5 linked regions of the Callithrix jacchus genome follow. The protein of the gene in region 1 interacts with the protein of each later gene in a biochemical or structural test. Links are inferred from orthologs where the notes say so. Each region holds a gene or a part of one and is shown in the gene's direction. Other genes may lie near its edges. The genes, in order: NCK1, LCP2, FASLG, SOS1 and ERBB3.

What was found.
Region 2: the proteins of NCK1 (region 1) and LCP2 form a complex in vitro, tested with the Homo sapiens proteins (2 studies listed by BioGRID and IntAct, with this or other methods). The link is inferred for Callithrix jacchus from reciprocal best matches to the Homo sapiens genes NCK1 and LCP2.
Region 3: the proteins of NCK1 (region 1) and FASLG form a complex in vitro, tested with the Homo sapiens proteins (2 studies listed by BioGRID and IntAct, with this or other methods). The link is inferred for Callithrix jacchus from reciprocal best matches to the Homo sapiens genes NCK1 and FASLG.
Region 4: the proteins of NCK1 (region 1) and SOS1 form a complex in vitro, tested with the Homo sapiens proteins (2 studies listed by BioGRID). The link is inferred for Callithrix jacchus from reciprocal best matches to the Homo sapiens genes NCK1 and SOS1.
Region 5: the proteins of NCK1 (region 1) and ERBB3 form a complex in vitro, tested with the Homo sapiens proteins (2 studies listed by BioGRID and IntAct, with this or other methods). The link is inferred for Callithrix jacchus from reciprocal best matches to the Homo sapiens genes NCK1 and ERBB3.

The regions. Positions count from the first base shown.
Region 1 is NC_133518.1:47,381,890-47,388,208, reverse strand, and holds the start of NCK1 (SH2/SH3 adapter protein NCK1), read left to right. Parts: upstream 1-2,557; 5' UTR 2,558-2,641; exon of another isoform or gene 2,642-3,076; intron 3,077-3,384; exon of another isoform or gene 3,385-3,489; intron 3,490-4,863; exon of another isoform or gene 4,864-5,031; intron 5,032-6,268; exon of another isoform or gene 6,269-6,319. UniProt on the Homo sapiens protein: Adapter protein which associates with tyrosine-phosphorylated growth factor receptors, such as KDR and PDGFRB, or their cellular substrates. Maintains low levels of EIF2S1 phosphorylation by promoting its dephosphorylation by PP1.
Region 2 is NC_133503.1:62,494,658-62,500,914, reverse strand, and holds the end of LCP2 (lymphocyte cytosolic protein 2), read left to right. Parts: intron 1-49; coding exon 50-127; intron 128-1,659; coding exon 1,660-1,815; intron 1,816-3,662; coding exon 3,663-3,785; 3' UTR 3,786-4,401; downstream 4,402-6,257. UniProt on the Homo sapiens protein: Adapter protein primarily involved in signaling pathways within T-cells, as well as other immune cells such as platelets, mast cells, and natural killer (NK) cells.
Region 3 is NC_133519.1:30,107,294-30,113,433, reverse strand, and holds the start of FASLG (tumor necrosis factor ligand superfamily member 6), read left to right. Parts: upstream 1-1,954; 5' UTR 1,955-2,055; coding exon 2,056-2,400; intron 2,401-2,950; coding exon 2,951-2,996; intron 2,997-6,140. UniProt on the Homo sapiens protein: Cytokine that binds to TNFRSF6/FAS, a receptor that transduces the apoptotic signal into cells. Involved in cytotoxic T-cell-mediated apoptosis, natural killer cell-mediated apoptosis and in T-cell development.
Region 4 is NC_133515.1:76,023,806-76,029,355, forward strand, and holds part of SOS1 (son of sevenless homolog 1), read left to right. Parts: intron 1-320; coding exon 321-365; intron 366-2,045; coding exon 2,046-2,164; intron 2,165-3,315; coding exon 3,316-3,807; 3' UTR 3,808-5,550.
Region 5 is NC_133510.1:63,573,286-63,578,835, reverse strand, and holds part of ERBB3 (receptor tyrosine-protein kinase erbB-3), read left to right. Parts: intron 1-39; coding exon 40-245; intron 246-457; coding exon 458-590; intron 591-790; coding exon 791-881; intron 882-1,092; coding exon 1,093-1,247; intron 1,248-1,942; coding exon 1,943-1,996; intron 1,997-2,334; coding exon 2,335-2,476; intron 2,477-3,172; coding exon 3,173-3,292; intron 3,293-3,415; coding exon 3,416-3,514; intron 3,515-3,720; coding exon 3,721-3,906; intron 3,907-4,462; coding exon 4,463-4,618; intron 4,619-5,550. UniProt on the Homo sapiens protein: Tyrosine-protein kinase that plays an essential role as cell surface receptor for neuregulins.

The DNA.
Region 1 (6,319 bases):
TCAGTACAGTATTTAAGATTATGTGAAATACTCAATACTTTATTATAAAATAAGCTTTGTGTTAGATGATTTTGCCTAACCGAAGGCTAATGTAAGTATTCTGAGCACGTTTTAGGTAGGTTAGGCTAAGCTATGATGTTTGGTAGGTTAGAAGCATTAAATGCATTTTTGACTTATGATCTTTTCAACTTATGGTACTTTCAATTTACAGTGGGTTTATTGGAATATAACTCCTTTGTAAGTTGAGGAACATCTGTATAGTCACATTAGGAGTGAGGGCTTCAGTATATGAATTTTAGGGGGGGGATGCAATTTAACCCATACCAGTAATGATAAAATATGCAGTTATTTAAACCCTTAGAATAAACTCAAAATTCACCTCCATTATTCACTTTGGATGCAAATAATAGAATATAGACAAAAAGTAGCTGTTGCCCAGTTTCACGGTCTACTTGTCCCAGCCAACCTGAGCATAAACAGGTAAATCTGTGCCTGACTTGCGATCCTACATATGGCAGACTGTCTTAGTCCCTTTAGTGTTGCTAGAATGGAAGACCCAAAGCTGGATAATTTATAAAAAAGATTTATTTGGCTTATGGTTCTGTCTGGAAAAGTTCAAGACTGAGCATCTGCATCTAATGGGGACCTGAGACTGCTTCCACTCATGGCAGAAGGCAAAGGAGAGCTGGTCTATACAGAGATTACATGGCCAGAGAGGAAACACGAGAAGAAAGGAAGTACCAGGTTCTTTTTAACCAGCTCTGGCAGAAATAAAGATAACGCACTTACCCCCTCCCCAGGGAGGACATTAATTTATTCATGAAAGAACCACCTCTATGACCCAACACTTCCCATTAGGCCCTACCTCCAACACGGGGGATCAAATTTCAACAGGAAATTTAGGGGGACAAACATCTAAATTATAGCACAGGCCAACCACATGCATGCATTACTACTTAAGCAAATAATTTTGAAGTTAAATGCAGAAAACTGCAAACTTTTGAGGCTGATAGCTAGGGCCAGGATTAAAGTAAAAAGTATTAATGCCTTAAACAAAATTTACTGACCATCTACCATGTGCAAGGCCCTAGGGAGAAACTGAACAGACACGGTTCCTGATTCAATGGAGTTTACAATCCACGTAGGGATACAGACAAACCATTTCAATAGCTCGGATGGAGAAAATACCTGTGCTCAAGGATACCTAACTCGGCAAGCTTCCCTGAGGAGCGACCCTAAACTGAACCACAAAGATGGTTAAGAAGAAATGAGGCAGCAGGGTGTGGTGGCTCATGCCTGTAATCTCAGTACTCTGGGAGGCCGAGACAGGCGGATGAGAAGGTCAAGAGATGGAAATCATTCTGACCAACATGGTGAAACCCCGTCTCTAATAAAAATACAAAAATTAGCCGGGCGTGGTGACGCGTGCCTGTAGACCCAGCTACTAGGGAGGCTGAGGGAGAGAATCGCTTGAAACCAGAAAGCGGAGGTTGCAGTGAGTCGAGATCGCGCCACTGCTCTCCAACCTGGCGACAGAGCGAGACCCCGTCTAAAAAAAAAAAAGGTTACTACGGTTTGCAGCACACTTACTGATGCTTCAGCCAGTGGCTGGAAACCTTATAACAGGCAGACCTAGCTCCGAAGATCCTCTTCATAACACTACTGTCGCCAAGACTGGAAGCTGCCCAAGCACGAGGGTCCTTTTAGAGGGACCTCAGACTCAGTTTATTTTGGTCTGTGCCTCAAATTAAACACAAGTCGGCCTGGCGCCGTGGCTCACGCCTGTAATCCCAGCACTTTGGGAAGACGAGGCAGGCGGATCACGAGGTCAGGCGATCAAGAGCATCTCAGCCATGGTGAAATCCCGTCTCTGCTAAAACACAAAAAATTAGCCGGGCGTGGTGGAGGCGCGCGCCTGTAGTCCCAGCTACTCAGGAGGCTGAGGCGGGGAATCGCTTGAACCCGGGAGACGGAGGTTGCAGTGAGCCGAGATCACGCCACTGCACTCCAGTCTGGGCGACAGAGCAAGACTCTGTTTCAAAAAAAAAAAAAAAAAAAAAGCCACATGTCTTACATTTCTCCCAGGTCCCAATTTTCAGGTCTTTTTATTTGTTTTTCTTTGTCCCTCCCTGCTCCTAAGCACCTTCGGCTGGGAAGACATTCTTCAGGTGCAGAAACCAGGGGGAGGCTCCCTGAACAGTGGGGGTTAGCTCAGGACGCTGTCATTTTTGCTGTAGAGTCTCTCCTGCAGCGCTGGGGCGGAAGGCTCAAAGTAACCACCCAGAGCAACCGCAGAGGGAAAACCGAAGACAGTCGTGGTCTGGCCTACCGCTTCTCACCCTCTCGCTGTCTTCTTTCCGCCGCGCAGCCTCAGCTCTTTCCACAGTACGAACGGCGCTTGATTGACAAGTGGGCCCGCCCAATCCCAGTGCGGCACAGACCACTGTCGCGTCAAGGACCGGGAAAGGGGGCGACTGAACCTATCAGATTGGGTCGGGAGTGGGTTTCCTGCCCGCGCGGATCCGCCTGCCCACCGCGCGTGCCCCGCCCCTCTCCCGAGAGCTACGCGGCGGTAGAGCGCAGGCCTCGTGCCGTTACGGTCATCACGGCGACCGCGGCGGCGTCCCGGTGCCTTCCTCAGGTGAGCTGGAGCTAGCCGGCACGGAAGACGGAGGGTGAGATGGCCTTGCTGGGAGGCCGACACACACACACCCCCTCCTTCAGTCGGCTGTCCGTCCTCACAGCCTGTTACTCGCTGCGTCGCTTCCTCTTCCCCCGCTGAGTTAGCCCCGGGGGCGCCGTCTGCAGGCTCGGAGCTGAGCCGGAGGGGATGCGGAGGCTGCTCGGCGGGGCCCGGACGTCTGCACTGGGATTCCGCGAGACCCTTGGGGCTCTGCCCCAGGGAGCGCGAACCCGTGGCCTCCTTGTCAGCCCCTGGAGCGCTGCGTCGGGGTTAGAGCCCGGGCGACCGCCCCTGCGAGGCTGGGAGGTCGAGTGTGCGGCTCGCTCGCCGGCTTGTCTATTTTCTACTGAAAAAGTCCTGTTGCCAGCTGTGGCGTAATCCAAGACCGGGAAGGTAGGGACGTGGTAGAAGGGAGGGCGCTCTCACCTCCAGCCCGAGAGGAGGAGGGGGCGGCAGCCTGCGCGGTGCTGAGGGTGGACATATTCGGGACGCGCCCTCGCCCCTCCCCCTACCCGCCGGCGGTTTTCTGGTCCGGGGCTTTGACTTTAAACGTCTGGACCTGCTTCACATTCGTACGCGAGTTGCTGGGGGTGTAAACTTTTGACTTGAGTTGTAATATGTTTGGTAAAAAAATTATCTCGATAGTTTTGTAACATTTCTTGTATGTTAACGTATAAGTTAAATTTGCCGTTAGAAGCTCAGGAAGCTGGATTTGTTCAGGGCTGAGGACGTAACGGTAGGAAGGCTCTCGGTGTCAAATCGATGGATCTGGAGTCAACTGAAAATAATTCTACACGTTATATTAGGTAAGAAGCCTTAGGAATTGTGAAAGAATGAGGTTAAGAAGAATTTCCAACTCCTTTTTGGGAGGGGAGCAAAGCAGCTCAATGCCCCAAAACGGGTAAGTGTTGCCAAGAGGTCCTCATTTTTTTTTGGTTGTTGCTGATTTTTTTTTTTTTTTTTTTTTTTTTTGAGACAGAGTCTTGCTCTGTCGCCAGGCTGGGGTGCAGTAGCGCGATCTCGGCTCACTTGCAACCTCCGCCTCCCGAATTCAAGCGATTCTCCTGCCTCAGCCTCCCGAGTAGCCGTGCTACCGTCGCGGGCCATTACCACCCCCAGCTAATTTTTGTATTTTTAATAGAGACGGGGTTTCACCGTGTTGGCCAGATGATTTCCATCTTCTGACCTCGTGATCCGCCTGGCTCGGCCTCCCAAAATGCTGGGATTACAGGTGTGAGCCACCGTGCCCAGCCAAAGTACTCATTTTAAAAATCTTTCTTGGATAGACTTACGGCAAACCAACAATAATGATTTCTTCAGCACCTGGAAAGCGCTATGTCTAAACTCTCAGCCTTCAGCGAGGTCACACAGTAAATGGGGAAATAACCCAATAAGAAAGTTTTGTTTGTTTGGTAATTGTCAACGTTTGTTCTTTTCTTTTTTTAAAACACTTTATTTTCTTGTGGGGATGGAGTCAGTGATGTTCTTAAATAGGCATTCCATTCACAACTTGATAGTAATATGCACTGGTTAATAAATGGTACTTTCTTTTCATCTTGACCACAAGCTCTGAGGCTTTCTTCTTTGGGAAAATTATGGTCTGTGGGAATTGGCTCTAATATCCATAAAGATAGATTGCAGAGTGTTCAGATCTACTAGCTGTTGGTTCATGTATTAAATTTTTAAATGTGTACTTATTTTTCTAGGCATTATCTTTTGTCCAGGTTTCTGTAGTGCTTTCAGGTCCATGTAAATAAAACTTGAAACCTACCTGTAATGTTTTGTTAGTTACTGAATGAGACCAGGCGAGGTAGTTCAAGCCTGTAATCCCAGCACTTTGGGAGACCAAGGCGGGAGGATAGCTGGAGTCCAGGAGTTTGAGATCAGCCTGGGCGATATAGTGAGACTCTGTCTTTAAATTAGAAAATTAAAAAAAAAATTTAAAAAGGAAAATAAAAAGAAAAGTGATATTAAGTGATGCTTTGTGTTTCTTGGTTTCTTTGAGATGGAGAAACATAAAGACTTGCTCTGTTGCCCAGGCTGGAGTGCAGTGGCATGATCTTGGCTCATTGCAACCTCTGCCTCCTGGATTCAAGCGATTCCTATGCTCAGCCTCCCCAGTAGCTGGGACTACAGGTGTGTGCCACCACACCCAGCTAATTTTTTTTTTGTATTTTTAGTAGAGACGGGGTTTCACTATGTTGGCCAGGCTGATCTTGAACTTTTGACCTCAAATGGTCCGCCCACCTGGGCCTCCCAAAGTGCTGGGATTACAGGCGTGAGCCACCGTGCCTGGCTGAGTTTCTTTTTCTTTTGGATCTCTGAGGACTTTCCTTTCAAAGCTGAAGGTATGTTTGATGTGATTATTACAAATCACTTGTCAGGAAGAATTGACGTAATGAATACAGGTGCAGTTCATTTTTAAAATTATGGTTTAATAATTTTTAGAATTTACCTTTATAATATGGAAAAATACCATACATTCTTTATCTGTACTGGAAAATTAAATGATTATTTCATTGATAAGTAAAATTGAAGGGAACTCTTGAAATCACTGAGCATTTAACAAATTCTCTGTAAATACCTTGATGTTAAGAAGACCACAGGGCTAAATATGACATTTAAAGATTAAGACAACAGTTATGTCTGGCTGATCCTCACCTGAAACTGTAACAAAGAGAACTAGTCTTCCCTTCAAAACTGATGCTGACTTGGTTTTGTTGACATTACCACGTTTTCAATTACCCAGATACAAACTTTGGTTTTATCTCCTAGCTTGTTAACAATATTGGACGATTTTTGCCAGCCATTTTTATCTTTGAACTACTCACTAGCCTTTAATTGGGTTTTCTGCTTGGCTTTTCTCTCTACTTAGTGTGTCCTGCCTAAATCTTAGAATAATGCTTCAAACACATCCTTCATTTTTCAGAAATCAGTGATAGCTCCCAGTTATCTTCAGAGTATAGTTCAGAATTCATGCCTTCTAACAGTCTGCTCAAACCTATTATTCTGGTGCCAGCACTTTCTTTTTTTTCTTTAATCGGTGCCAGCACTATTTCTTTTTAGGAACTATCCACTCTAACCAAACCAATCTGTAGTTCTTATTTACCCTTTGTATTTTTCTACCTTCATATTAAGTTCTTTTTCTTTTTGTGTGGAGTCTCACTCTGTTGCCCAGGCTGGAATGCAGTGGCACCATCATGGCTTACTACAACCTCTGCCTCTTGGGTTCAAGTGATTCTCCTGTGTCAGCCTTCTGAGTAGCTGGGATTACGGGTGCGGGCCTCCATGCCCAGCTAATTTTGTATTTTTCGTAGAGATGGGGGTTTCTCCATGTTGGCCAGGCTGGTCTTGAACTCCTGACTTCAGATGATCCACAGGCCTCAGCCTCCCAAAATGCTGGGATTATAGGCGTGAGCCACTTCATCTGGCCAGGTTGCCTAGTCTTTCAAATATTTTTCTCTTAAATTGCCAAGTAGGAAATCAAGGAAAATGTTGTGAAAGTTTCGCTTTTGGTCCTTTGGTGCAGCCTTCCAAATGTTTTTCCTGTTCGCTATGTTGTTGCTTTTCCTTTTTTTTTTGAAGACAGAGTCTTGCTTTGTTGTCCCAGCTGGAGTACATTGGCCTGATCATAGC
Region 2 (6,257 bases), on another chromosome or scaffold:
CATATGTAACTGTAAAATTTATTCCGTTTCTAAAAATTTACGTTTTCAGAATTCATTAAATGAAGAGTGGTACGTTTCTTATATTACCCGACCAGAGGCAGAAGCTGCTCTTAGAAAGATAAACCAGGTATTGTGCTATAGTTTATTTTAACATAGTTATACATATTCATGGCAGAAGAAGGGAACTGACTTGTCCTGAGTAACAGTTACGGGCTGGGAATTCTTCTAGGTGCTTTGCTGACTGTAATACCTAGGAGACCCATTACTGCCAGCTTCACAACTACAGCAACCATAGCAGGAATTCCTGGGCTCAGGAACCATTCAGCTGGCAGAAGAATCTAAGTTAAGGCAGTCATTTGGTTGGCAGAATCTTAGGAGATTTTATTAACAAAAGCGTCTGTCTTGTCATGGGACTTAAATGGTGTCAGAAGGAGACTCTCTTTCCCCCAAAGCTTCAACATTATACCAGCTCTAGCTTCCTCCTAACACAGATGTGCCATCCACATTGATGTGACAGGACCGATATTAAAGAAACAGCAACAACTTTTTGCTCTTTGTCTTAGACATTTCTAGGTAGCCTTTTAATAGCATAAGGTGTTAAGCATATTTCTCCTAGCCAGTCCCGAAACTTTACCTTAAATTTATTGATCAGAAATGGGAAAGCAAAGATCCTTCATCTTTCACATTTAAACTCTACAGCAGTTCTCAGTAGTAGTTGCACATTTAAATCACCTGGAGCGCTCTTGAAAAATCCTGATTCCTGGGTCTCACCTGGAGATTCTAATGATTCTGGAGTTCTGTGTCAGCTCTGGGAGTCTTCAAAACTTCCCAGGTCATTCTGATTTGAAGACAAGACTGAATCACTGGTCCAGAAGTGTTTGTTTAGCAGAAATGTTCTGACAGGCTCAATTAACTTGGAATAAAAGGAACAGAGGAAAGCCGTTATTGCCAACTCGTGGCTATTTAAAGCTATTCTGATTTGGTATGAGAAGGGAGTAGTTTAAAGGAGTCCTTACTAATTAATTTTATTTTAATATTAGATTTTTATAGTATTAATATTATGTAGTAATAATTTATTGAATGGAAATTTAAAGTACAGAACAGTCAAAACAGTAGTTTAGCAAATATCAGAAAAAAGAAAAGAGGAACATTTGCATTCAATTTTGGTCAAGGGTCTGTTGAAGCAAAGACTACCTAGAGACCACAAGATTGTAAAAACGGTGAATTTCATGGCATTTGGGTGTTTTCTGACTTTGGATGTGGAAAAGAAAGGTTAGGAATAGTAGGAAAATATATCTTGAGTTACCCAATAAAGTTTGTTATTTCTCCTGGCCTTTTATTCACTCAAGCACCCATTATTTATTATTGAACAAAAGATTCCTTTTTTTATCAAGAGACTTTAACGAGATTGACTTGGAAATTTCTCTGCTACAATCTCTGTTGCCTTTCTTGATAACAAAAAAAAAAAACTCGTGACACATGGAATCTGTAGCTGTTTGGAGAACCGAATGTTCGTTGAATGACAGGTTTTGCAGTCAAGAAGCTGCAAACTGCAACTGACAGGTTTGTCAGATCCCTAGAGGCTTGTCTACTACTCTTAGAAGCAACAAAAATATTGACTTTCACTGCTCCCATAATAACAGGAATTTATCCTTTCAGGATGGCACTTTTCTGGTTAGAGACAGCTCTAAAAAAACAATAACCAATCCATATGTCCTCATGGTGTTGTACAAAGATAAAGTTTACAACATCCAGATCCGTTATCAACAGGAAAGTCAAGTTTACTTGTTGGGAACTGGACTCCGAGGGAAAGAGGTAAGGATTTCAAATTTCAACATTTCTGCTAAATCTTCATTTATGCCTCTCTGCATCTTTTCATGGAGCAATCTTTGGGATTCCAGGCTGTATGGCGAATTTAGAGTTAAATAACATTAGTGAAGTCCTTCATTTATTGGAAGAGAAATAAACCAAAATGTTTACAATAGTTACTTCTGCCATAGGATTCCTTCCTGTATGTCTTTTATTCCAAATAATCACATGTATAACTTTTAAAATCAGGAAAACGTATATTAACTTTAAAAAATCTATTTAGAGATGTCAAAGACAATTTCCTGCTATTATTCACCTCTGTGACATAATTTTAATGTAGGCTGCATTTTAAGTTGACACCACTTGAAAAGGAGAAAAATCAGAATACTTGCTGTGGTGATTAATTTGGCTCATTTCTTAACAAAATGGAGGGTTAGCCCCATGAAGATGACCAGGTTGCCAAAGAAATTCTTCTCAGGCTGAGGTTTAGATTCTCATGCTAATCACTTTTTGAGTGGTAATCAGAACTGGTAGAAAGAAACCCTCGGGGCTAGTTTTTTGCAACTGAAGGTAATGCCCCAAAGAAACTCCAAGTTCAAAGTTCCAAGAGGAGGACCAACTGAATGAAACATGTCCAGAATGAGAAACAGCTTACCCATAACTTCTGATTCACATACTTTTGTTATGATAGTGTTAATGACTAGAAAATAATGCATGCTTATGGTCAAGTGTTTGAATCACTGGTTGGCAGTGGATAGAGCTGCACAGACCCTGTAGAAGCAGAGGTATTTGCCTTCAAGCTTTATCTTGGTCCAGTGTGGAAGCACACAGGTGTGCAGAGGACTCATTGCAGCTGTCATGGAGGGAGGCACCTAGCAGATTAGTCTTAAAGGAAGTGCATTATCCCATTAGGGTTCCTATGTGAGTTGTGACCCATATCCAGAAAGTTGAATTAGGCTTTTCCCTGTCTGGCAATCAAGGCTGGGGTGATACAGGCTATAGATGCAAAGACTTGGCTGCTGAGCCCTTATGAGTGTGGAGGTGGCAGTGAGGACACAACAGAGAATTCACAAAGGAACTCCTGTGCTATGCTGCAGATCCTACCTCTGGACACCGTGTACTGTGTCTGACCTCCTGAGTCCTTATACCTCTTAACAATATTAATGACTGGGGGTGAAATAGAGATACGGAAACCGAAACCAAAACCAAGACCAAAAACAGAGCAACCCTGCGGCAAGGATACTGTAATCATGACTATTTAAATGACCCCTCCATATAAAGTTAAAAATATATGCATTTCAAATTACGTAACACACACACACACACATATACATTTGATCTTTTTTTTCAAGATGGAGTTTCCCTCTTCTCGCCCAGACTGGAGTACAATGGTGCCATCTTGGCTTACAGCAACCTCCACCTCCTGGGTTCAAGCAATTCTCCTGCCTCAGCCTCCCAAGCAGCTGGGATTACAGGTGCATGCCACCACACTCAGCTGATTTTTTTTTATTTTTTAGTAGAGACAGGGTTTTACCGTGTTGGTCAGTCTAGTCTCAAACTCCTGACCTCAGGTGATCCATCCACCTTGGCCTACCAAAGTGCTGGTATTACAGGCATGAGTCACCATGCCCAGCCCTTATTTTATCTTTTATCCATGGTTTGTTGGATGTTTTGAGGAATTTTTTTGAAAGCTCTATAGCAGAAATCATTGAACTACTTGCCACATTTTACATATTTTTCCCACAATCCTCATAACTTGAAGAGGCAGGATATATTATGCAGATGAAAAAACAGGGTGAAGTTCATGCTTTTCATTCCAATGCTGACTCATCTCCCTATCTTGACTCTTTCAGGACTTTCTGTCTGTGTCAGATATTATTGACTACTTCAGGAAAATGCCACTTCTGCTCATTGATGGGAAAAACCGAGGTTCCAGATACCAGTGCACATTAACTCATGCTGCAGGATACCCATAGCAAGTTATAGTTGAGCAAATGAACCGTCCTCCTGCCTCTGTTGCCAACATGAGATCAATCAGCTTTGGTCAACTGATAAACACTTAGGACTGAGTTTAACCCTTCCCCATGAACACAGGGGTATTATCCTTTCCTTTAAAAACAGTGTTTGAAATGAAGACTGTCAAATTCCCATAATTTATTTATTCTTCTTCAATGTTTGTAAAGTGCATGAGTCATGTTCACACTTCATGTCTAGTAATGCACTGTAATAATTCACTTTTTAAAAGTTGTTAATTTTTTTAATATCCATTTCAAAATACAGTAGTTTACACAGCTACAGAAACAATTTGGGGCAAGTTTTAAAACACTGAAACAGTAATAGTTATTGGCATCACATAAAACTGATTTGTTGCCAAACCTCTGTCAGTCAGAGGCATTCATTAGTTCTATACATGTAATTTGAAAATGACTAAACCTCATTTTCTCAGCAGCAATAATTTAAGAGCCTTCAAAAATACAATTTTATTCTTCCTTATTTGGTATTTTTTCCTGGGGGAATTTTTATGTAATTTTTTATGAAAAGATAAATGCACGTTGAGATAACTTCTGAGATTAAAATAGTCTTTTGCTTTAACTTTTTGGTTTCCTAAAACAACTTTATTGACTTTTAGTCCATACTGTTATATTTTTGTCTTAAAAAATGTAAACTACAAATAGCAAAAGAAAACATTTTTAATTTAGGGATGAGACTTTGGTGGATTGTGGTTCTAGGTTTAATTAACACATCTGGGGTTAAGTTGGCATTTCTTCACATCCCCACACCCACACCAACATCACACACACCCCCACCTTCTCCCAACCCCAAAAACATTGTCCAGGGATATAGATTTTACCAAAGACTTCCTGGGAAGACAAGGGAGCAACTTTAAATTTGTTCAGACTTTCCTATTCGGTATGGCTGTTCAATCTCTTATCATCCCCCTGACAGCTCTGCCATAAAGCCCTTTCTCCTCATCCTTTCCAAACAGGCTGTATAAGTGCTTTGAAGTAATTCAGCTCTTTCCTTTAGTTTACAAATCTCACTTAACAAAACGTATAGGCATTCAGCCAGATTAAAAACTAGTATTCAGCCAAACAGTGACAATCAGTTTTTTCAAATTTTTCCCTTTGGGACCTTGGTTATTATTGAACAACTTTTATTAGCAACAATTTTTGGCATTTCTGCTTAATCTACAAGTTTTCAGAATGGAAAAGAATATCTTGCATCTTCATCTTCATGAACCAATAAAAAGAATATTAGAAGGAATCTAAGAAGTCACCAGTTTAAAACTGATGATAGGCTAAGATAAGGAGTATATGGAATGTAGAGACTTTTAAGTAATAATAAAAATTGTGTTTCCCAAAATCTCATCCTTAACCAGAAGTTCTCAGTTTAGGTCCAAAACTTGGGAGTTCTAAGGTTGAAAACCCTGCATTCACTTACATGTCTATAGAACAGGCTATTCAGCAAGTATTTACTTAGTGGCTTTTCTGTGTTAAACAAGTGAGCTAGGTGCAAGGTAGTCAGGATAGCATACACCATAGGTTCTAGCATGGAGTAAGCTCACTTATCTTGCTTCACTGTATTCTATTCTTAGGGTTCAAAAATATGTAAAATGAAGGACCTGATAGATTTCAAAGCAACTATTTGGTAGTGAATCATGTTTATAAAGCAAACACTCGTTTTAAGTCTCCTGGTGGAAAGGGCAATTAGGATTAAGATGTTCTATTCCACGGCTATGACTGAAGTCCACGTTGGGAAGCTGATGTTTTCATGACTAGCATTCTCTTTCAAGCACTGGCAACTCCTTTTGGCTGGGCCTTGCCTCTTTTCTTGTAAGTGACCCCAGATATATCAATGGGAGTTGCTCAGAACACCGCTTAGTGATAAATATCTTACTAAAGCTGGGTCAGTCAGAGTCACTCTCTGGAATGTTACACATGAAGCCTGAGACAAGATCTTTTATCTGGGGTCCCCAAAAGGCAATGCTATACACCTGGATCTGTCTGCTGCCCTGCAACTACTCCCATTTACCAATTAACTGTTAAGAACCAGTCTGCTATAGAAGAGAATGAGGCCAACACATAAAAACACAGTAAAAGGATAGATGAATTATTGGGGTCCCTGAAATGTACCAAACATGGACTTCCAAGTCACATGACTCAGTAAATGCTTCAGCTGGTTGAGTTGTGCTTGGCACTCACTAACAGGAGAGTTCTGATTAATATAAACTCATACCATTGGTTATAATTTAGCAGCTCTCTTTCAACCTGAGCCAAATTCAAGCATAAGCGAAAGGATAAGCAGTGACCAATGGCCAATTTCCTATGTCATACGCTCTTAATCAGTGAGGTAAGTTAAGCCATTCTTAGAAATATTAAACAACAGCCTTCAAGAACATGAACTGCTTGTTTACAACATTATTTTTATTTTGTTTTAAATTATATATA
Region 3 (6,140 bases), on another chromosome or scaffold:
GCAGGGGGAACCTTATATTGAGGGGAGGGTAAGGAACAGGTCTCAGGTAAAAGCAACAATCCTGGGTGACCAGTTAAATGTTGGGGGAGAGGAAAAGAGAGGAGATGAAGTTGTCTCCAGAAAGAGTGGCCTCAGGAGAAACAGGTTGTGGGGGGATGGGGTTGGGCTGGCGTGGGCAGAATCCATCGGGGAAATAGTACCTTTGGTATTGGTTTGGTACAGGTGAGTGGGCCTGAATGATAGCCACAGAAATCCCAAAGCATGATATAAAAACTAATGAAATTTGAAAAGTAATAAACCTGAAAAAGAAAATGACAAAGTGGGATTTACAGGGCATTTGTATGGCTTATATTGGAGAATAATTAGGACTGAAGCTAACTACTTGGAAGTTATTGGCATATAAATGGTATTTGAGGCCAGAGGAGAAAGGGTGAGGTGAGTCCAAGGAGAGAGGCCTGCTTTAAATGAAACAAAACAAAGAAATAGGGCACAGAGTTAAATTTGAATGTCAGATTATACAATAAATAATTGTTTAGTATATTCCATGTGTGGACACGTTTAAGACATACTTGCCCTAAAAATTATGTATTATTTATCTGAAATTCAAATTTAATTGGTCACCATGTGTTTAATCTGGCAACCATAACAGTGGCTGCACAAGAAATGTCAGCAGAGACCAGGCAGGCCTTTCAGATGGTGAGGTGATGTGTAAGACACAGGGGCGTGGTGGAGGCTGGGTGACCCAGAACACCTGTCCTTCATTCTCAGGGGTAGCTGCTACCCATGGCCTTGAGGGTGTCCGACATTCTGATGTTTCAAAAGAGAATAGAAATATTTTTTTAATGTGTATTTAAAAATATATAATATTTTTAGTATCAATATTTAAAGTGGTCAGTTGGGCTGGCTGAGTGCAGTTGCTCATGTCTGTAATCCCAGCACTTTGGGAGACTGAAGCGGGAGGATCTCTAGAAGTCAGGAGGCTGAGACCAGCCTGGGCACCATAGCAAGTCCCCATCTCTACAAAAAAATAGAATAAATTAGTCAGGTGTAGTGACCTATGCCTATAATCCCAGATACTTGGGAGTCGAGGCAAGAGGACTGCTTGAGCCCAGGATTTTGAGGCTGCAGTGAACTATGGTAGCACCACTGCACTCCAGGCTGGGTGGCAGAGTGAGACTCTGTCTCTCTTTAAATAAATAAATAAATAAAGTGGGCAACCAATGAAAAGAAAAACATGTGAAATACAAAGCAGCTCTGTGGGTTCCACTGGTTTGCAGCCTCTGAGCTAATTTCTAAAGTGGGTGTAGCAGGTTTTTACTCTGTAAATTATGGTGATTTGCTGGTCAGGGTAGATGATACTTGTGTGTGGGGAAGGGATGATGGCAACAGATGTTTTCCTTTTGCAAAAAGTAAAATGTGGGAGTGACTTCTTTGGCCATGACTTCATGGTCTTTCACCTCAGAGCCATTTGCAGTAAAATTTATGGATTTAAAAATATGATTCTGAACAATTTTTGTTAGAGTTATTTTGGGATTTTAAAATAGTTTTTTGGTTGTATGTATTGTAGAATTCTTAAAATTATATAATGATAATTTATAAAAATGCATACGATTATAATTCATAAAATTATATCTCCACTGGCCATTCTCCTGTAGCTGGGAGAAGTTGACACCAACAGGGCTACATCCCAGTGCTGACCTGCTCTGCAGGACCCAAGGAAGGGGAGCACAGCCTACCAGCCTTTTTGGGTAGCCCAGCGACAGCACCTAGGGCTTCAAAGGCCTTCATAAGAAAATTGTGGGCGGAAACTTCCAAGGGGTTTGCTCTGAGCTTCTTGAGACTTCTCAGTTTCAGATGCAAAGTGAGTGGGCGTTTCTCTGAGAAGCAGAATGAGAGAGAGGTGTTTCCCTTAGCTATGGAAACTCTATAAGAGAGATCTAGCTTCCTTTCTCTTGAGCAGTCAGCAACAGGAGTCCTGTCCTTGACGCCTCAGCCTCTACAGGATTAGGAAGAAATAAGACCATTTGCTGGGGCTGGCTGGAGTCACCGGCTGCCATGCAGCAGCCCTTCAATTACCCATATCCCCAGATCTACTGGGTGGACAGCAGTGCCAGCTCTCCCTGGGCCCCTCCAGGCACAGTGCTTCCCTGTCCAACCTCTGTGCCCAGAAGGCCTGGCCAAAGGAGACCACCGCCGCCGCCACCACCGCCGCCACTACCACCTCCACCACCGCCACCATTGCCTCCATTACCACTGCCACCCCTGAAGAAGGGAGGGACCCACAGCACAGGCCTGTGTCTCCTTGTGATGTTTTTCATGGTTCTGGTTGCCTTGGTAGGATTGGGACTGGGGATGTTTCAGCTCTTCCACCTTCAGAAGGAGCTGGCAGAACTCCGAGAGGTAAGCCTGCTGGTGGACTGCCGTGCCCTGGAGGCACCTGGCATAAGGGGGTGCAGGGCCCACTGCCTGGCTTGCCAAGTGCTTTTCAGTTCTTTTTTTTTTCCTTAGAAATGGGTTGTTCTAGTTATTCTATTCTATAGGCAGAGAAATGGAGGTTCACATGAGTGAGGGGAATATTTTTTGTTTCGTAAAGCATCAGAGCCCAACAGTTTTCTTTTCCTCATGTGTCAACTCAGTCTGTTGAACCACTTCCTGCCTCATACCTAGTGATTCAAGGAGTAACAAACAAACCAAACTTTTAAGTTTTGCTTGGAAGTAAATTTGTTCAGATGACCAAACTGAATCTTGAAAGTACTTAAAATATTGATATGATTCCAAATCACAAAACTGGGGGACAGTGAGGCAAAATTGCTTGGACAAAGCCTGAGTTAACAAAAGTTCTGAGGTATTTGGATTCTTTTTCCAGGGCTTGGTTTATTTGACAATTCTGCCTCTTTTGCTTAAAGAGTTTTATTTTTTTTATACATCTTTTCTCTTTCTCTTTTACTAGTCTGCCAGCCAGAGGCATGCAGTATCGTCTGTGGAGAAGCAAATAGGTGAGTCCTTTTTTTGTGGGTACAATGAGTTCCCAAAGATGATCCTCAGCACTGAACTATGTTAATGGAATGCCTTATATTCTGTCCTACACTTTGGCTTATGTATGCTATGAGAGGAGTTCTGGCTGATTCTGAATTTCTGGTCAATATGATTCCTCGAGCTGCTTTAAAAATGTGAAGTCAATTGAATTGCTCACAATCAGTATAGCTGAGCACAGCACACAATTCAAAATCACTTTCACTTGACTTTGGAGACACACATACACAACTTGGACCTTTGCCCCCTGAGGAAGGTCTGTCGCATTCCACAGGCATCTTGGTTGTGGCACACATGCCAGTGGCTTTGACTCCTGGGAAGAGAAGGCGAGGTGAAGGCAGAGATAGATGTTTCTCAGAAACGTCCTCTCCTCTTTTAAACTCTCTAAAGAGATTACAGTGAAGCTTAATTTATAAACTATTTTATAGGATGTATGCTTTTAATGAGGATAATCAATTGCCCACAATAGGATGGTTTTTCTTGAAGTCACTGAGTAGCTTAGGGGAAGACTTCAGCCATCATTCAAAGGACATTCAGCTTCACCCACAGAGACGGTCATGAGGTACCCTTGATCACAAAGGAAAACCCTTTGTATGGGAGCTAGGACAAGAAGATGACATGTTGAACACTGATCTCATGAAATGTCAGGGCATAGTTTTGCAAGCTCTGTACAGATAGATTTTACGGCACACTTCACTAGTCTAAGGTTCACTGAAATTTCAGATTTAGATTTACAATGCGATTCATTGAATTTTTAGAGTTGGAAGGAAGCTTAGAATATATCTAGTCCAGTCATTCTGTCTTTTGGAAGAGAAACAAAATACCAGACAGATTAGGTGAACACGCCCAAGAACACTGGTCTGGAACTGGGGCTGGAAGGAACACGGGCTCTTGATGCCTTGTCACCTACAGGGCTTTCCAGCACATGGACTGGTGCCTCATCAAGTAGGGAAACTCCTGACTGTAGTGACCATGGAATGAGAAATAGATGAAAAGCAGAATACCTCTGCAAAGAGAATAGGTAAATCTCATCCTTAGAAACTCAGAAGCAAGCAGAAGGCAGCACTGGCCAAGAAGTGGAGCAAGTTCCCATTTCTCTGGATGTGGCTACTGCAGGCAACCCAGTCGCCTGTCTGCTATCCCAGATTGTTAGGTTCTTGTAGGAGCCACTGTTGGATGCTCTGGCTCCTGTGTCTGTGTCCTAATCCTTATATGTTAGAACTTCCACATGTACACAAGCAGAGTGGAAATATTTGTTAAAAAAATAAAGCCTCTGGAGGATGTCTTAAATAAGATCATTTTGAAAATCTGTGGAATGTGCCTGGTCTGATAGGTACCTAATTATTCATATTTCACCCACTCTTGAGTCAGTTTAGTGATTAAAAGTCAAATGATCAGATGAGTCAGGTCTATCTGCCTGGTAAGCAATTATCTTCTCTAGATGGACCAGAAATTGGTAAATTATCACATGGCTAATAAGAAAAGAGATTCAAATTAATATAATGCAAATTAAAAATAGGAAATATCAAGTTTTCATCAAATTGGTAAAAATTAAAAAAAAGCACAAATTGACAAAGATTTGAGAGAAAAGAGCCTGTTCAAACATTTGTTTCAGCCAGTGTACATGTAAATTGCTATAGCTTTCTCTGAAGAGCACTTTGGATATACAATCAAAAGCTTGGAACTAATAGTTTACGTTGTAATCCCATAGCTAAGAATTTATCTTAAGAAAATAATCAGAGATGTGCCTGTGCCTGAAGATTTACATATAAGGATATTCATTACTTCCTTATGAGCCTATTTATAATAAACAATTCAGAAGAAACTTGAATGCCTCATACTAGGTTAGTCATATACATTATGATGTATTCAGACAAGTGCTTAATAAGCAGCAACTAAAAACATATCAGAAGGACGTTTAATGCCTTGGAGATTGTACACTCTATTGTTAGATAAAAAGACAAGTTACAAAAGAGTATGTTTAGTTTCATACTGACTATGTAAGCATGTATGCACATATTTATATTCTTAGAAAGGAACTAGAAAGTTTTCTATACTGATGTACTCACAGTGATTTTCTCTGAGAGATACTATTATAGATTATTTACACTCTTTAATTGCCTCCTTTTTATATTTTCCATTTTTTTTCCGTTAACTAATTAAATATCTTATTCATTCACATCTGTGAGGCTAGATGTTGGGTGCTGGATGCTGACTGAGGGTGAGTGAGCCCAGGGGGCCTGTCCTTATGGAGCTTTTAGCATGGTGAAGAAGCTAAAAAAAAGCAAGCAAAAAGACCATGCAATTTCAAAGTTACTCAGTGCAACCTAAGATGGAATGGCCTGGAGAACCCTCTCTAAGGAGGTGTTGTTTATGCTGACACCCGTGGAGGTCAGAAGCCGCAGAGTGAAGGGCTGTGTGCATGTACTGTGGAGTGTGGTGGGGCTGGGAGAGAGCATTTCAGTGCTGGGAATGGCACGTGCAAAAAACCTGGGGCAGGAAGCACTCATCACCAGTGTCTAGGATATATCTGCAGTTTATTTATTCCAGTATTTGTATAGCAGCTATTCTTAGTGAGCGTCTTCTATGAGAATAACATTGTACTAGGCTCTGTGAGGGATATAAAGACATGTGGTTCTCTCTTCCATTTCCTGCCGGTGCATGGCTGAATGCCAGATTAGTTGCTCAGATGGTTTGTGGTGTAGGAATGCAGAGGAAACTCAGTTTTGCCTTTCCTGTTCACTAACACCGCCTTTGTGGTGGGGTGGCTTGGGTGACTACAGAGGTCATGATTGTTCAGGCAATGTTCTCTGTGGATTGGGCTATTCTCAGACCATGTGTGAGTATTACAGGCTAATCATGAACCTGACACAGACAAGCACTTTGTGTGAATATTAATTGATATCTCAGTTAGCTGAATTCATTAGCTAAGTGGCAGCTGTCTATCTTGTCTGAAATAGTTGAAGTCAGAGAAATAGTATCTGTTTTGAGAACTATTGTCTGTCCTTCCATTTAATTTGTCCAGCATTTGCTAGTAACATATCCTGTGTTAGAAACTGGGCTACTCTGGTGAATTCAACATATTGTAAGAAACTTGTCATTATTTG
Region 4 (5,550 bases), on another chromosome or scaffold:
TCCAGCTGAACTTTTTGCTTGAATTGGGTTTCTACATTTTAAAAAGTATTTCAGTAATATAGGATATTTTAGTGTTTTCATGAATGTTTTTCATTTAATTATTATGAGATCAAGTAAATCTAAAAGGAACCTTTTAAATTCCCAATATGATACCAGTTTTTTCTTCTCAAAAGTAATAATGAGATTTTACTATAAACGATTACAGCATTCTTTAAAACTAGAATGACAATAACATTTTCATCATAAATACAAATTTTTGCAGATAAGTTGAATATATCAATGAAAGAAGAAAATCTATTTTTTCTTGTTTCCTTTCACAGGCAATGATACCGTCTTTATCCAAGTCACACTGCCCTATGGCCCAAGTTAGTATATTTGGCTTAAGACTCATAAATCTTGCTTTGGCTTTAAAAATCAAACCAAGTATAACCTGTCCTGCTAAAACTCTTCTTGGGTCTGGCAGCATTGGTACCTTGCTTGCAACGTCCTAGAAGTGAGGCCTTCACTTGTGCTATCTTTTGATCATAAATGATTTGCTTAAATTTATGTATTTTTCATGCTTTTTACAAAACCTCGTTTCTGTCTTAAAAGAACATATTAAATAAGTGGCTTCCACATTTAACCATTTCTTTTTTACAACTGTAGAGTTCTAAATATATTTTAATGCTCAACTTTGGGAAAAAAAAAAAAAAAAGCAAGAGCATGCATGCGCGTATGGGAATGCTGGCAGCTACATGCAGTTTCTAAATCACAAAATATACTTAGCCTGATAGTAGGATAGATTATAGACAACTGCTTTTAACTTTAGAATAACTTTCTTATAATTGTAATTATTCAAAGTATAGCCTAAACACTGATAAACAAAATAAAGCTCCATTTTAATTTTAAGGTAAACTAACAATTCACTAAATTTCATTATATTAATTATTTTAAGCTAATTAATATTTTTTACTGTCCTTTCATACAAGTAATTTTAAAATGTGTACAGTGGAAAATACTAGTTACAAGCTGAATTAACTGTATATTCTCAAGGGAAAAGGTAGGTGATCAAAATGTTGATCATTTTAATAATATCAGTACACAAAGTACTCTTTTTAAGATCTATATTGTTATAACATATAATTGACAAAAAGCTTAATGCTTAAAGGGAAAAAAACTGCCAAGTATAATTTTGAATGATGGTTTAAGTATTTTTTTCATGTCTTTTTTTATAGTGTGTATAAACTAACAACCGTGTTGTTCTCCAAAGTGTAATTATTTATATGCCTACCTTACATTCTTGTTATCATAAATGTCTGTAAGACAGGTTCCGATTAGTAGCTTTACTTACCTTTTTTGTGCCAGTTCACCAACTTAGGTTCACTAGATTTTAGTGTAATTTCTGTTTTCATTGTCAGGGCTGCCTCAGTTGTCTTGAATTGTGCCCATCATCGGTAAAATGTTTAGATTTAAAGTATAATGAGCCTCTTTTTGCTTACAGGCAAAGGAGAGCCTATAACTAAACAAAATGAGGAGAGCCCCCTCACCTAGACACTATGATTCTTTCCCTTGCATCCTTTGAGAGAAATGCTAGGGAGAGACGTTAGAGAGAGTGGTTAAGAGCAGGATCTCTACTCCCAGGGACTATCCAGTAAGGTGGGGAAGTTCTATAAAATCTAATTAAGTCAAAGAAAAAAGTGAACGCATTGTAGAGTCTTAAAAATTACCATTCCAAATATTTTCAGTAGCTCACTGTCTCCTAGACATCTGAGAATCAGATACAATTAAAAATTCCAATAACAGATTAACAGCGGGAATGTTACTTCGTTCAGGCAAAATAACAATATCTTAGGCAGCTTTTCTCTAAATATTCTGCTAAAAAATGTCTGCATGCTTTTATGGCAGTTTGCTTTAATAAATAAAATACTATTGGGTATTGGTTTATTGAACTGCTTTTGGTACTTCTATACATTACTTTTAATTATAAGCAGATTCCAGCTAAGCCTTTTCAAGATAAATAAATAAAATTCCTGTGAACTTTTTCTTAAAAATTTAACATCCTACAGGATCTGCTTCTGTATCATCTATAAGTTTAACCAAAGGCACGGATGAAATGCCTGTCCCTCCTCCTGTTCCTCCACGAAGACGACCAGAATCTGCCCCAGCAGAATCTTCACCATCTAAGGTAAACTGGGAAACCTTCTTATGTAGAAATTGGAATCATTACAGTTACATTATAAACTGCTTATGTCTAGTTTAGTTCTCACTGGGATAAGTTAACATTTCAAAGTATATGGGCTTAATCATTTAAACAAGGATTACATATGGATTTAGCATGCAGTAATGTTTATTTCTTTTCTTCTGAAAGTAGTTTTTTGGCATGCTTTCAAAACCTTTGTAAACCTAAGGCTATGGTTATTTTCGGGAAAAAAAACAAAAGCTTTAGTCTATAAAGTAAGAAGAGTTTGGTTTCAAGCAGTTCTTTAAAACATACAGAAAGAAAATCCTGAAGCTTTGTATGAAGGCACATTATAAGTCAAACTGTATCTTGGCATATGCTAAAAGTTATTTATCTGAGCCCTTAATAGTAAATCTGACATACTTTTAAATGGAGTTTTCATGAACATTCTGGGTTTGGAAGATACTGTAAAGGCTCAAAATAGCTATTATTTCTACTTATTTAAATTTTTTTCTTTTTTGGCCAGCTGTCAACTTAATTAGTTCTTAAGCTGTCCAGAGAACAGAGCACCAGGATAAGTCAAGATATTCTTTGTAGAACTTCGTGAATGTTCATATAGTTAAAATTATAAAATAGGTAATTTATGCTAAATTAGAAACGCTCTTAGATTGAGTGAAAAGCTAAGCAAGCAGTAGCAAACCAAAAAAATTGTGAGGAAGGAAAAACATTAAAGTAAAAAGTTCGGCAAAAAAAATTTTTTCTATGAATTGGCAGAACCTCCCATATGAAACATATGCCAGCCTTGGCAGCATAGCAAGACCGTGACCCTACAAAAAATGCCAGGCATGGTGGTGCATGCCAGTGGTTCTTGCTTCTTGGGATGCTGAGGTGGGGGGATCACCTGAGCCCAGGAGGTCAAGCCTACAGTGAGCCATGATTACACCACTGCACTCCAGTTTGGGCAACAGAGCAAGGCCCTGTTGCCCCCTCAAAAAAATTTTTTAATTAAAAAGAAAACATACGGCAAAATTACCTGTTCCACATTTAGCATCCTTCCAATAGCATGTTTGAAAACCACAACTTAATTCTTAATATAGTCATGATACTTCATAAATTTATTAATAAATGTGTATTTTATTCTTTTTTTCATTTGTTAGATTATGTCTAAGCATTTGGACAGCCCCCCAGCCATTCCTCCTAGGCAACCCACATCAAAAGCCTATTCACCACGGTATTCAATATCAGACCGGACTTCTATATCAGATCCTCCTGAAAGCCCTCCCTTATTACCACCACGAGAACCTGTGAGGACACCTGATGTTTTCTCAAGCTCACCACTACATCTCCAACCTCCCCCTTTGGGCAAAAAAAGTGATCATGGCAATGCCTTCTTCCCAAATAGCCCCTCCCCCTTTACACCACCTCCTCCTCAAACACCTTCTCCTCACGGCACAAGAAGGCATCTGCCATCACCACCATTGACACAAGAAGTGGACCTTCATTCCATTGCTGGGCCGCCTGTTCCTCCACGACAAAGCACTTCTCAACACATCCCTAAACTCCCTCCAAAAACTTACAAAAGGGAGCACACACACCCATCCATGCACAGAGATGGACCACCACTGTTGGAGAATGCCCATTCTTCCTGAGTTCCTCTGTACTGGGATGTATATTTTCCTAGCCCCAAATCCATTGCTGGCAATGGATGCACTGAATGTGCCAGCACTGAGGAGTTAAAATGAGAACTCCAAACACTAACGACTTTTCTTCAAGATGCAGTATAAGACAATGAATTTTAACCTAGATGTAATTATAAAGTGAAAATGGTATTCCAGTTTAGAATATGGAACGACTGACCTAGAGGAATTGGACAACTGATTGCACCTGAAAATCAAGTAAAGGGACTTTTTCTGGCCAATAGGCTGGAGTCCCCTTTTTGTGAAATGATCTTTATCATAAGGGATGGAAAACATAGTCTGGTGTCCAGCAGGCCCACCTGATGACCGTTTTTGTAATTCAAATTATGCACTTTTAAAAAAAACTTAAACAGGGATCTTAATATCTTCCTTTGTTTTCCTTTGCTTTACTCTTCTACTTTAGAATATTTTCTTAAAAATCACTCAAAGGACTGTGAGGAAAGGCTGTGGTACCTGACCTTGTTGAAATCAAGGCCCAGCACTGTACTACAGTCCTGTTTACAGATTATTACAGTGAACTGAATGGGTACCGAGGCTTCACCAAAGAGGTACTTTTTTTGTTGTTGTTGTTGTTGTTTTAGGAATAATTATATCAATTTTAAGAGCATTCCCCCTCACCTGTCCCCACACACCCAAACAAAATGTGGTGGTGTTGCCTTCAAAAAAGAGAAGTTTTGTGTCATTAACATGACAGAAGAACTTTAAAAAACAAAACCATCAAGTATTCTATTTGCATTTAGAAGACTGTTAATCTATGCTAGATTGTCATTTTCCCTCCTTCTCCCACAAAAGTTTACTGGTAATCGATGTCATGGCTCATATCTATCCCTCTAACCATACCATGGAAATGCAGGCACCCAATGTGAAAAGGAGCACTTGCTGGGCATCACTGACACTGTTCATGTTTTACTAATAGTTGAGTAATCAGCATATCTAGAATTATCTTGCATTACCTAAATCATATGTATATAGTGAATGTTATATAATATACCTGGCAGGTCTGTTTTAATTTAATTGAATAAAGATACAAATACTTTGTTTGGCTGGCATATATTAAATTATTATATGAAGAAAATGGTTGATTCTTTTTTCTTTTAGTTGAAAAACACACAAAAACACTAAACATAAAAGCACGTATTGTGGTACGCCTTGGTTTCTAGTTCTGGATATATGTCTTAATCCTAAAGAATGATCTAAAGTCACAGTTTGGCATATAGAAAGATATTTGGTTAGAATAGGATGGGTATCTTTTAAGCAGAACTTTGTAAGTTGTAAGTTCCTAAGCAACATGTATACAGTTAAGGTTTATGTGGAACATTCTACCTTGCTTGAGGTTTTCTGCTTTATCAAATCTATTCATAATAGAACATCTACCTGCATCATTACTATCATAATATGATTATTCATAAAGTGTGTGTACTATTCTTCTGAGTCTAACATATACTGTGACTGAAATGCATGCACCTTGTTGAAGAGAAAACATTTTATTAATCTCCACTATAACGTCTGTGAAATGTGCGGTATTCCATCCTTAGAGTTATGTGGTTCATCAGTGTCTGCGTGTATCCTCTGAATAATGAAACAACATTTCCACAATTCTGTTCACCACACCATTAGAGACATTTTTAGGAGTGCTGCAACATGGTGGGAACTTAGTACTTTAATAATTTCCTATATTTATTAAAGCGTAAAATA
Region 5 (5,550 bases), on another chromosome or scaffold:
CCTTAGTAGTCTCCTCTCATCCTATCTCCTTATTCTCAGCCGGGGCTTCTCATTGTTGATCATGAAGAACTTGAATGTCACATCTCTGGGCTTCCGATCCCTGAAGGAAATCAGTGCTGGGCGTATCTATATAAGTGCCAATCGGCAGCTCTGTTACCACCACTCTTTGAACTGGACCAAACTGCTTCGGGGGCCTTCAGAAGAGCGACTAGACATCAAGCATAATCGGCCCCGCAGAGAATGCGGTGAGGGAAAGGGTCTGCTGGGTGGTGAGAACAGGGAGTCAGGGAGGAGAGGGCTGGAAGGATTCATCTGCCCACACGTGGGAGTAGGGTTGAGGGATGGAATCAAGGAGAAGGGGGATGTTAAGATGGAAGCAGTAACAAGAAAGAGTAATGAGGAGAGGGCCGGCTGGGAGTCCTCAGACTTCTCTCCTAATCTATCCTTTCTTTTCCAGTGGCAGAGGGCAAAGTGTGTGACCCACAGTGCTCCTCTGGGGGATGCTGGGGCCCGGGCCCTGGTCAGTGCTTGTCCTGTCGAAACTACAGCCGAGGAGGTGTCTGTGTAACCCACTGCAACTTTCTGAATGGGTACAGTGATGGGAGCCAGTCAAAGATGGGTGGGGGTGAGACCCTGCAATGGAACTATTCAGGTAGCATATAATAAAAGCCTTTAGAAAGCTTTCTGCATATGCCTTGGTGGGAGTGAGAGAGGAGACCTGTGGTTGTGGTATCAGGGCATGAAGGTCAGGACTTGGAAGTGACCCCCCTCCCTTTATTCCCCGATGCAGGGAGCCCCGAGAGTTTGCCCATGAGTCCGAATGCTTCTCTTGCCACCCGGAATGCCAGCCCATGGAGGGAACTGCCACATGCAATGGCTCGGTATAGTAGCAGCACCAGGATCTCCAAGGGAGACAGAGAAGGGGCAATACTTGGAGCATGTGGGGAATGATATGACTAAGGAGAGCACAGAGAGAACAGATAATGCTAGGGTCTGCAGATAGAAGATTCGGAATGTCTGGGCTGGTCTTTGCTGGGAGGTATGGAATTGACCTTGGATCTGATTCATCCTGACCTTCTCTCTTCCACTCAGGGCTCTGATACTTGTGTTCAATGTGCCCATTTTCGAGATGGGCCCCACTGTGTGAGTAGCTGCCCCCATGGAGTCCTAGGTGCCAAAGGCCCCATCTACAAGTACCCAGATGTTCAGAATGAATGTCGGCCTTGCCATGAGAACTGCACCCAGGGGTCAGTGATGGGATGATAAGAAGGGGTCAGGTGGAAGGGTAGGAGCACAGAAATAGGGTGAGGGAAGCAGAAAGAAGAGAGACGCTGTGATTTAAGAATCACTCCCAGCTGTGTACTGAAGGACTGAAGAAAGGGAAAATCAGTAACAGCACAAAATTGCACCACAGTTTTGGGAACCTGGAATAACCACAATTCAAGGGAGTTTTACTCAAGAGGGGCTTGGGGAGAGCTAGTGAGCTGGAGGTAGAGGCCATGTCTTGGGATCAGCTTTGGACTCTAGGATGGGATGCCATGATAAGTTCTGAAGTAAGTTTTGTATGTTGAGGCTGTTGAAATTTTTTTTTTTTTGAGATGGAGTTTCCCTCTTGTTACCCAGGCTGGAGTGCAATGGCGCGATCTCGGCTCACTGCAACCTCTGCCTCCTGGGTTCAGGCAATTCTCCTGTCTCAGCATCCTGAGTAGCTGGGATTACAGGCATGTGCCACCATGCCCAGCTAATTTTTTGTATTTTTAGTAGAGTCGGGGTTTCACCATGTTGACCAGGATGGTCTCCATCTCTTGACCTCGTGATCCACCCGCCTCGGCCTCCCAAAGTGCTGGGATTACAGGCTTCAGCCATTGTGCCCGGCCGAGGCTGTTGAAATTGAGCCTCTGTTGTCCAAGCTCTCATTTAAGGTGGTGACTTCCTTCCCTAGGTGTAAAGGACCAGAGCTTCAAGACTGTCGAGGACAAACACTGGTGCTGATCGGGTAGGATGGGTTTGGAGATTCTGGAAACTGGGGATATTTGGGAAGTTGGGAGAGAGGTGGTTACCTGGAGAGAAGAGCGAGGGTGTCTTCATTCTGGCCTTGAATGTACGCGGTCCACTATCACTGGAATGCAGGCTTCTGGACTTCCCTTCCTAAAGTTAACTGCAGTAGTCAAAGAGTGGTCCTGATTTAGGTTGGTCCCTTCAGTGCTTAAGGATATATATGTGAATGCTAATTTCTTGCCCCAGATCTGCCAGATACCTTCAGCGCAAGTATAGTTGACATTTGTAAGGAAGATGAAAACCCAGAATAATGTTGGGTTTCTATATATCCCATAGCAAAACCCACCTGACAATGGCTCTGACAGTGATAGCAGGATTGGTAATGATTTTCATGTTCCTGGGTGGCACTTTTCTCTACTGGCGTGGGCGCCGGATTCAGAATAAAAGGGCTATGAGGCGATACTTGGAACGGGGTGAGGTGAGTACTTAGTTTACTTTTGTTTTTTCTTTTCTTTTTTTGCATGCCCTTGAAATCTCTTTATAGCTTAATTTTTAGTGGTACCTTGTGTACCCAGTGGTCAGTGATGGGATCAATGTCACTCCCCTCATCTTTCCTCAGGGATTTGATCCCTTTCTTCAAGGAGGTAGTGTGATCCCCTAGAAAAAACACTGGTCAGAGAAGTGGGAGGCATGCATTCTAGTCCCGATTTTGCCATTAATTTGCCACATGACTTTGAAGAAGTTACTTCTCTTCTCTGTGCCTTAGTTTATGCATCTATAAGGAGGAAATAACATTCATCCTTCCAGGAAGGCTGTAAGCGTAAAGAGAGATGATGTAAAAGTGCTTTGGAAAACACAGAGCACTGTATAAAAGGTAGTCAAGGTGGTAATAGTATTACCAGCTCTCCCTAGCTGTCCCTTTACCCCACTTCTTGGTCCCCCGTCAAAGGGAAAACCCAACCCCTTTGATTCCCGATCTCATGAGCACAAATAAATTCCTCAATCTTCAAGGTCTGTTATTCCTCAATATGCTTATAATGTTTTCCAGGACTAACGATGATTTCTCTTCCTGCCCTTTTGGCTCGCTACTTTTGGCATTGACCTCTGGAGAGCGGGTTGGAGTGGGACATGGGAATGGTCTTTCCTGAGTACCTCCTTTCCATTTGCTCCTTAGAGCATAGAGCCTCTGGACCCCAGTGAGAAGGCTAACAAAGTCTTGGCCAGAATCTTCAAAGAGACAGAGCTGAGGAAGCTTAAAGTGCTTGGCTCGGGTGTCTTTGGAACTGTGCACAAAGTGAGTCCTATAGGAATTCTGGTGAGGTGGGGAAAGCATCTAGGGCAAAGGGGTGAAAGATTTTTCCAAAGGACTGACCAAGGGAGAATGACCCTATGCTGACTCCTATCCCAAACTTCCCAGGGAGTGTGGATCCCTGAGGGTGAGTCAATCAAGATTCCAGTCTGCATTAAAGTAATTGAGGACAAGAGTGGACGGCAGAGTTTTCAAGCTGTGACAGATGTAAGTGAAGGGTATTCTTCATGTCGCTAGGAGAGAGGATAATATTAGATATAATTATGTAGAAGCATGGTCCTGTGCTTCTCAGCAGCTACTGTGTTAGCCACGTTGATGCACTTGAATGTTGGGGGTCCCCTGGGCTGGCTGTGCACATGCTGAGTGTATGTGAACCTGCTGGTTTCCTGGATAACACCTTTTGTGTCTCTTAGCATATGCTGGCCATTGGCAGCCTGGACCATGCCCACATCGTACGGCTGCTAGGACTATGCCCAGGGTCATCTCTGCAGCTTGTCACTCAATACTTGCCTCTGGGTTCTCTATTGGATCATGTGAGACAACACCGGGAAGCACTGGGGCCACAGCTGCTGCTCAACTGGGGAGTACAAATTGCCAAGGTGAAAGGAGCCTGGAGGAGTTCTATGATAAGAACTGCTCAGCTGGGGGCAGGCCAGGAAAAAGTGGGAAGGTTGAAGTTCTGAGAGGCAGGGTCCCCAACCCCCGGCTACAGGCTGGTACTGGTCCATGGCCTGTTAAGAACTGGGCCACATAGCAGATGAGCGGTAGGCGAGTGAGTGAAACTTCATCTGTATTTACAGCCAGTCCCCCTCACTTGTATTACCGCCTGAGCTCTACCTCCTGTCAGATCAGCGGCAGGATTAGATTCTCATAGGAGCGTGAGTGACCTCTATTGCGAACTGTGCATGTGAAGGAGCTAGGTTGTGCACTCCTTATGAGAATCTAACTCATGCCTGATAATCCGAGATGGAACAGTTTCATCCCAAAACCAACCCTCCCCTTCTACCAGGAAAACTGTCTTCCACAATACTGGTCCCTGGTGCCAAAAAGGTTGGGGACTACTGCTGAGAGGTACCTGGAAGATTTGGGGGAATTCCAGATCTCAGTGACTGATTCCCCCAACTTTAAGAATATTTTCTTCCCCTGTATCTACAGGGTATGTACTACCTTGAGGAACATGGTATGGTGCATAGAAACCTCGCTGCCCGAAATGTGCTACTCAAGTCACCCAGTCAGGTTCAGGTGGCAGATTTTGGTGTGGCTGACCTGCTGCCTCCTGATGATAAGCAGCTACTATACAGTGAGGCCAAGGTGAGGTGACACAAAGGGCTGGGTAAGGTGGTGGGGGTGGAGTGAAGCATGGGGATAGAGAGCAGTCAGTGGTCTCTTCCAGAGGCAAGCAGATGCTTCATGGTAAGTTCAAAGAGAGGAGGCTGCAGATGGCCAGATATCTTAGTTCAGAGAGCAACAAAGAAAAGAATGATCAAGAATTTGGTTGGAAAAAACCAACATGGTAACATGAAAGATGCCTAGCAGGAAAAAAAAAAGAACTTGGGACTTAGCCGGGAACGGTGGCTCACACCTATAATCCCAGCACTTTGGGAGGCTGAGGTGGGTGGATTACGAGGTCAGGAGTTCGAGACCAGCCTGATGAACATGGTGAAACTCTGTCTCTACTAAAAATACAAAAATTAGTTGGGCATGGTGGCATGTGCCTGGGCATGGTGGAGTGCCCAGCTACTCCAGAGGCTGAGGCAGGAAAATCTCTTGAACCCAGGAGGTGGAAGTGGCAATGAGCTGAGATCACACTACTGCCACTGCACTCCAGCTTGGGTGACAGAGCAAGACTCCATCTCAAAAAAATAAAAAATAGGCCGGGCGCGGTGGCTCATGCCTATAATCCCAGCACTTTGGGAGGCCGAGGCGGGTGGATCACGAGGTCAAGAGATCGAGACCATCTGGTCAACAAGGTGAAACCCCGTCTCTACTAAAAATACAAAAATTAGCTGGGCATGGTGGTGCGCACCTGTAGTCCCAGCTACTTGGGAGGCTGAGACAGGAGAATTGCTTGAACCCAGAAGGCGGAGGTTGCCGTGAGCCGAGATCGTGCCATTGCACTCCAGTCTGGGTAACAACAGCGAAACTCCATCTCAAAAATAAAAATAAAAAAATAAAAATAAAGGCTAGTCCGAAGGTAGTGAGTTATCTCAACTGATTGTTCACAGTCAGTTACAGATCGAACT